Sus scrofa: one gene and its partner. The protein of the gene in region 2 interacts with the protein of the main gene of each other region in a pairwise test. Links are inferred from orthologs where the notes say so. Each region holds a gene or a part of one and is shown on either strand. Other genes may lie near its edges.

What was found.
Region 1: the proteins of SOX5 (region 2) and ARID5A interact in a two-hybrid assay, tested with the Homo sapiens proteins (2 studies listed by BioGRID and IntAct). The two-hybrid records come from large-scale screens. The link is inferred for Sus scrofa from reciprocal best matches to the Homo sapiens genes SOX5 and ARID5A.

Annotation. Positions count from the first base shown.
Region 1 is NC_010445.4:46,704,074-46,707,889, forward strand, and holds part of ARID5A (AT-rich interactive domain-containing protein 5A), read right to left. Parts: intron 2,381-3,816; coding exon 2,265-2,380; intron 1,066-2,264; coding exon 927-1,065; intron 567-926; coding exon 1-566. UniProt on the Homo sapiens protein: DNA-binding protein that may regulate transcription and act as a repressor by binding to AT-rich stretches in the promoter region of target genes.
Region 2 is NC_010447.5:50,149,063-50,152,878, forward strand, and holds part of SOX5 (transcription factor SOX-5), read left to right. Parts: intron 1-2,414; coding exon 2,415-2,588; intron 2,589-3,816.

The DNA of each region.
Region 1 (3,816 bases), on a different chromosome or scaffold from region 2:
GGCCGCGCTGGTGCTGCCCGGGCTGCCCCCCAGCTCATCGTACACATTCTTCCAGAGGCGCCGGCCGGTCACCTGCAACAGCGCCAGGTGAGGGCATGGCCCGCGGGCACCCTCTGGCCTCGGGGTCCCCCCACAGCAGGGATGGGGCAAGAACACATTCTTGCAGCTGCTCCAGCAGCAGAGATGACAAGGTTGGAGGGGGCGCGCCTGGCCGCCAGCCAGGTATCCCTCCCAGGGGCTGCTGACTGCTGGCCTGAGCAGCTTTCTGAGCACAAGGGCAGAACAGATGCGGAGGAGAGGAAATCTTGCTTTGAGCAGCAAAGTACCAGCAGGCAAGGTGGGTCCCCCCTTTTCCCCACAGCCAGGCAGGGGGGCTGGGAAAGGGCAGGCTGGGGACCCTGCCTTGTCCTCCTGTCTAGGGGCAAGGACAGCAGTGTTGAGCACACTGTTCCCCAGCTGGGGCCATGTGCTGGGAGACGCAGCCGGGCGAGAATGCGGAGGTGACTTCCTTACCAGCTCATAGGCCCCCAGCTTCTCCACGGCCTTGTAGATCTTCCACAGGTTAACTGGAGAAAAGACAGGGCAGCGCCACTGTCAGTCTTGGCGGGAGGAGGGGGCAGCCAGCAGCCTGTCCACATGGCCCTGTTGGGCAGGCCCAGAAGCAGCACGCACCCAGACAGGGCCACTGGGATGCCCTGGCAGGCCGCGCCCTCTGCACTGGGGGCCCAGTGGCCTGTGAGGATGGAAATCCAGCCCCACCCATTGCCAGCCTTGTGCCTGGAGGGGGGCACCCTTTCTGTGTGCACCCCCCTGGGTGGGGGGGGCAACATCCAGAGTCACCCAGAGTGGAGGTGCTGCCCCAACGCCCTGTCTGGGTGGGGTCCCCTGCCGGGCCCCCCCTCCCTGCCTGCACCCCAGGGACGCACTCTGCTTGAAGCCAAGATGGGGCACCCTCTCGATGGGCGTGTGTCGCTCCTTCATGAACTTGTAGAGGCTGACCAGGAAGGCCTGCTCCTCCTCCCGCTCCTGCTCCTCCTCCCGCTCCCCGCCTGCCTCGGGGGGGTCCTGGGGAAAGAACAGGAGGCAGGAGGATGAGTCCCCAGTTGGTGGGAGGCTGGGGACAGGTGGAACCACAGGCTACCTGGGAGGAAAGAGATGTGTGGCCCCCAACCTCGGGCTCCCACAGGAGGGAGCAGGCCCCCAGACCCAGCTCTGGGCTACAGTGATTGTTCCTGGGGTCAGAAAGGTGTGGGTACCAGCTGTTAGTGACCAGGACGCCAGGTCAGGGTCCACAGAGGCCTGGCTCCAGAGGCAGCCATGGAACAGCCTGCACCTTCTCTAGGCCTCTCGCAGATCAGCCATCTTGCTCTAGATTTGTTACATCTGCATTTCAGCTCCTCTACAAAACTGTGGGCTCCCAGTGGTCCTCCAAGGGCTCCTGTGGTCCAAGCTGAAGGAAGAAGGCACTTGCTGCTCTCTATGGGGCTCCTCTGCCAGCCCTGCCTCTGTGACCCACCCATCTGCCTGGTGAACTCAGGGAGGGGAACCCTGTCCTGGGCTCCGATGGCACTGCTGTCAGATGCACAGGTCTTTTGGTTTCTGCTCCCAGGGGGCAATTTCTGCTGATGCTGTTCATCTGGCTGGTGGCTCAGGGCAGGGATCTAAGGTCCTGGTTGGGAAGGCCCCCAAAACTAAAAGGACAGGAACCATCTGGGCCTAGAATCCTTTGGAGAGCCACGTGTTCCATGACAGTCTATTCAAGTACCAAGTCCATGTTTTTAACTAGTCAGAGATCTCTGGTAATAAGCAAGCCAGCTCACAGGTTACCCATGAAACTGGAACATGTGAGAGACCAAGGCAACCGGTTTGTGCAGCCTCAGAATGAAAATGCTCTGACCTCTGCTCTTCAAATGAATGTGCCCATCAACACAGCCGCGCTGATCTCACCATGGAATGTCCGTATTATAAATTGGAATGACAGATGGACGTAAATGTAGTTCGACATCGTAGAAGAGTGCTTCAATCTGTTTTATAGATGGGGGTTCCAGGTAATCCTCATTTGGTAAAAGGGTTCTGCTAGGAAAACCAAGTCTGAGATCCCTGCCAGAGGGGATGGGCCCTAGCTCTCTGAAGGACCGGAGGCGGGGGTGGGGGGGGTACGGAATGCATCTCTAGGCTCCCCACGTTCACCTGGGAAGCTGTGCGGAAGTGGGTGGGCAGGAGGGAGGGGCAGGGAAGAGGCCCCAGGGGGTTGCTCAACTCACCTCCAGCTGGACAGGGCTCTGGCTCCTGCTCTGTCCACCATCAGGCTGAGGGGACACAGGGGGGTCTAGGGGGTCACTGCCCTCTGACTGTTTCCTTTTCCCTTTGACAGGAGGTGCTGGAAGGGGAGGAAGAGGATGGGGTGGGGGGAGAAAGGACATGAGATGCTGGCAGGGAGGAGCAGGTGGCAGGGGAGGCAGTGTCCGGGTAGGCCAGGTGGAGAAAAGTCCTCACCTGCCCTGTACAGCGTGTCCCCTGCCCACTGTCCCAAGTGCTGCTGGTGGCCCTTTAAACACACATGGGGCTCACTTCTGCCTACTCCTCTCAACCCCACAGGCCCTACCACCCTCCTTCCTCCACTCCAGCCCTTTCCCCACAACTTTGAAGGAAATCCTAAATCAAGTGAGAGGAGGCTGGGGTTGGGCCTGTGGTTCTTAGGGAAATTCTGTCTCTAAAACTTGCCCAACGTTTAGGTAGGAAGTTTTCACAGCAGCTCAGCAGAGCTGGGAAACTGCAGAGGCTCCTGCATTTGTGGGCCCTCAAAGCACCATGGGGCTGCCTGGACCGTAGATCCTCCAGGAGTAATTGAAAAGAAAGTAAGATCCTGTTTGTGAAGCATCCAGCCTTTCCCTGAGCATCAGCAGAGTCCTAACTGCTCCTCATTAGGCCACAAGCCCTCCTCACCAGCATGGGTCCTGGTGGCCCATTGAGTCTCACCTGACAAGTCACTTCCTTGGGGTGTTCCCTCCCAGCCCCCAGCCAAGCACAGCACTTCTCTCTAGTCATCCTAACTCCTGACACCCTCAAGAGGGCCACCTGAACTGAGATGCCCCTGACAGTTCAGTGGGGCCATCCAGCGCCCACACACAGTAGGTGCAGGGAAGGGAGCAGGAGTGATTCTCACAACAACCTGAAGGTGCGGGTGCAGGGAGGAGCACGGGTTTGATTTACTGAGGGCATCATGAGAGCTGATGGCTGCAAAGACACAACACCCCTGCCACTGCAAAAAGCACAGCCACTGCGGGCTCTGACCACGGGCAGGCTGGCAGCAGGTGTGCGGTCAGGAGCCCCCATCTTCTGACCGCCTTTTTCTTTTTCTTTTTCCTTTCCCTTCCTCTTTCCTTTTTGTTAATCCAGCGTGGACTGTCCTGTACTCCTGGTTCACTCCAGCTCGGGAAATCCTTACTGCTGGGAACCTGCAAGATTCCCCCTCCATCTCAAACAGAAAAAGAATCTCCCTAACAAGAAACCCACACCAGTGACCCACAAGGCCAGCGGTACCCAGAAGCACGACTGTAGAACCCCTGGCAGCTGGACAGTGTCCCTTTGGGCAGCTGTTCACATGGGTGCCGCCCAGGTCCTCGGTTCTGTGTCCCTGGCCCTTTCACGTAAGTTCTCTCTTTGACTCTCAGAAGGAAATCCCATTTTTAGGGTGGGGGTGGGGAGGGACTGAAGCCAGAGGGGTGGTCTGTTTCCTTGGGGGACCAGGTCCACCCCAGCCTGGGGGTCTTGGCCCCGCCACCACCGCTGCTGCTGTGTTTATCAGCAACATCT
Region 2 (3,816 bases):
TGAGTCATTCTTTCCAAGACTGCAGGGCTCTGAGTGCCAAAGGCAGGTCTTGGATTCAAGAGGGTGTGATTCTAAAGCAAATGCTCCCGATCAGCATCTACCCTGTCTGTCGCTTCCCTATTTCTTATAGTTTTCAGTTGTCAAACCCTGACCGGAATACGGGGCTCAGAGGACATTTTCAGGATGGTTTTTTTTTTTTTGCACTGGGGACCCTTTCTCTCTTACACTGTCTACCACACAGTCAGGAGTCCCACCTCCCATCTGTTACCTGACTACAACTCCAGCTGTGCAGTCTTCTGCTTCCCTCATGTGCCTCAAGATTTCTGTTGTCTGCGTCATCCGTGAACATTCTAAACATCTACAGAGACAACTCAATAAATTGATGCTCTAATTCTGATAGCCCAGCAAAGAGGGAAGAAGAAGAAAGTGGTATTCCTCTGACACTGAACCTTGACAGGGACCCTCTCTCGAATGTCAGGTGACATACATTCATTTTAAGAATTCAACTTTGTTGCTATGGCAGAAGTTCCCTGAATAGAGAAAAGATGGCACCAGGGCAAACTGGTGGGAAGCATACTTAAGAAGAGAAGGACTTCCCTTGAATCCCCCAAATACACAGCTGTCTCCTCTGTGCCTTGGGCCAATTCTCCTTCTAAATCTCATTCTGCACTAGCCAGGGGACTAGCTGCACTTGAGCATTTAACTGATAATTCTGTCAAGACAAAATTTTATTGAATTGGATAGCCAAGAAATTCTGTGGTTTTCTAGCCTGTTGTAGCCAAACATTTCCTTCTCTTTTCTACTTTGTTTGGCTAAGATAAACCTGGCCTGAGTACATACAAAGTGCTTGTTTAGCTTTGATGAAGTCACATAATGTTCATTTTATTGCTTATGTTCTGTAAGGTGTAAGAACAAGAAAAGGCAGATGTGCAAATGATCATTTGATAGTTAGAAACCCATTTTAGAAAGATGTCACCATATATTTGCACTCATTTTTGCCAATAAAAAGACAGTTACTGGTAATAACACATTTCATAAATTTTAAGTTGTATTAGCATGCTAAAATAAACCCATGGTAAGCAGCATTAAAAATCAAAATTTTGTTGCTCTTATTTGTTAAATCCAATCATGCTTTATGCAAAATATTTTCCAATCTTCATAAGACCAAAGAGCATATTATGAAAGAGCAATGATGAGAAACTCCAAATATGCTGTGTTTTTTTGTTTGTTGCAATAGAGGTCTTCGAGTCTAGGTAATTTTGGTTCATTCCTATTCCTTCAAATTAAGAAAAGAAAGGAAAAGAAGTGTGAAGGAAGAAAAGTGGCACTTTTATTGATATTACAAGCTCTAAAAATCCCCAAAATATTTAAATTTTTTACATGCTGCCATGTAAAAATGCTACCATCTCTCTCATCTTTTGTAATGATCACCCTGAAAAAGTTAGCATCAGGGTTCTTGGTATTTTTCCCCTTCTCCTTATTTTCTTTGCCTAATTTCAAGTAGCTCTTGAAGCAGTTTAATCTACTAAAGCCATTCTACAAAAAGTCAGAAGCCTAGAGGAGTGACTGCACCTCCCATAGGTTCCATTGTGACTCTTGGTTGCATTTTATCATCCTGAGTCATGCTAATTGGAAGATAATCAGCATTGGGTCTCTTTGGATAACTTAGATGTTAAGGGGGGAAATTCAGGGAAATATGTGACTGTAGACTTTCGAAGAAATGATAGTGATGTAACTATTCCTTTGTTCTTTTTCTACTTCAGATATCCTTTGGGGAACAGACTGTCATTGCTGCATCAGCATATTTCACGCATTTATTAACACACATAATTTTAAAGGAGTCAGACACACTACAAGAAATATCTACATTGTGTTTTAACCTCAAACATTTATCTAGTAGTGTTTTTATTTATATAACCTAAGAGAGGAAAGGGCCCTGAGTACACCACGTTCTGACAGTCTTTAGGTAGCAGAGACTCATCTTTCCCTGTAGTCACCCCTTCTGCTGAAGACTGATATTTCACACTTTCTGAGCTTTTTGACCTAATCAATATTTCTACAGTACTGGCATGCCTATTGATCTAATCCAACTGTTATCTTTCCAGTTTGCATCAAAGATCACAGATTCAGGTTTCTTGTCTGCTCTTGAAAGTAAATGGTGAAACAGTCCATAGCCCATTGAAAGAAAGGTTAAATATATTAGAAGTGGATTAAAAAATACCAATACAACATTTGCCACCATGAGGCTTATCACAGAAACTTCATAAACGAGCATCTGGCTCAAGAACTAGAAGTGCTGTTATCAGATGTGCTTTTCCTTTTCACATATTTTAATGGACCAAAAAACAATAATGCAAGGAAGAGAACTGCCAAAAAATGTAACTCTAATGTGAAGCCGTGTTCCCTGTTTTTAGGAAGTGCTGGAGTCTCAGAATCAAGAATTTATAGAGAATCCAGAGGGCGTGGTAGCAATGAACCCCACATAAAGCGTCCAATGAATGCCTTCATGGTGTGGGCTAAAGATGAACGAAGGAAAATCCTTCAAGCCTTTCCCGACATGCACAACTCCAACATCAGCAAGATACTGGGTAAGGAGAGTATTCAGGGTTAAGAGATATATGAAATAAATATATAGTTCTCTCTTCTGCATTTGTCGAAAGAAACTGGATTCAGAGGCCAGGAACTCATGTTTTCTACTTATCCAGAAATAAACTGGACCATCATTGATTGACCCTTCTCTTCTGATGGTGAAGCAGTCCATGTTCATCACGAAACTGCCCAAAATCTGTAGCTAATTGCCTTGTGTGTTTCTGTACTAGCTGTTGTAATATTTTCTCTTCTTAAAAAATCTAAAAATATTTGTACCAAGACTAGGAAGAAGTGTTCTTTTCAGATAAGCTACTCCGTTTGGTATCGGCCAGGCTTATTTCTTTGTGGACTACAGAATTCGTCCTGTTGTGGGGGAGGGGGTGGAGGTGATGATGTTTGTTCTAGTACTATAACTGAACATCAGTTTAGATCGTCAAGATACAAGAAGCTGTTGAGTGTGTATTTTTAAATTTTTACTTTTAATAACCTTACATATATTTTCAGTACCATTTAAAAAGGGACTTTTTCTGCTATGGCAGCTTTCAGCTTAACATGGCAAAGTACATATTTACCTAGTGTACATAGATACACAGCAAACATGGGTGAGAGGAAAGAGTACTGATTATAAAGAGACCTATTATACACTGATTTAAGTCCCAGAAAGAAGGAAGAGAGGATTCCATTTCTTTGGTGCTATTCTTTTGACATGATCATCATCATTATTGTCATCCTCTTCATTATCTTTTATCTTCACCCTCAAGTAGGCGTGGTGCCCAGATTCTGGACAACCTAAGCAAATTTTCATTATTCTCTGACTTCTAAGAGCTAAGTGATAAGAAATAGAATAGGAACACTTAACTCTATCAGCAGATTTTGTCTGTGACAAATAAGTAATAAAATTTATCAAAGTTATTAAAACTTTATTAAAATCTGTAATGCCTTTGGAATTACAGGTACTTAGTGTAGTGCGCCTTTTGGTTCTGTACATTAAGGAACCAGTCATCTGAAAGTAGTTACCAAACATGTATCTGTGTTTTTATGATCTCATATTTTCAACAATGGTAATAGATGCCACCCAGTCCAGAGCATGCATTTGTAATGAAACAAAAGCAAATAAAAACTGCATCTCGATTTTCATCTAAATGATTTTGAGAGCTTTAGATGAAGGTGATCTCAAAAGATATGAACATGTGAAGCTGTAAGTGTACATAGAACACATGAATATTT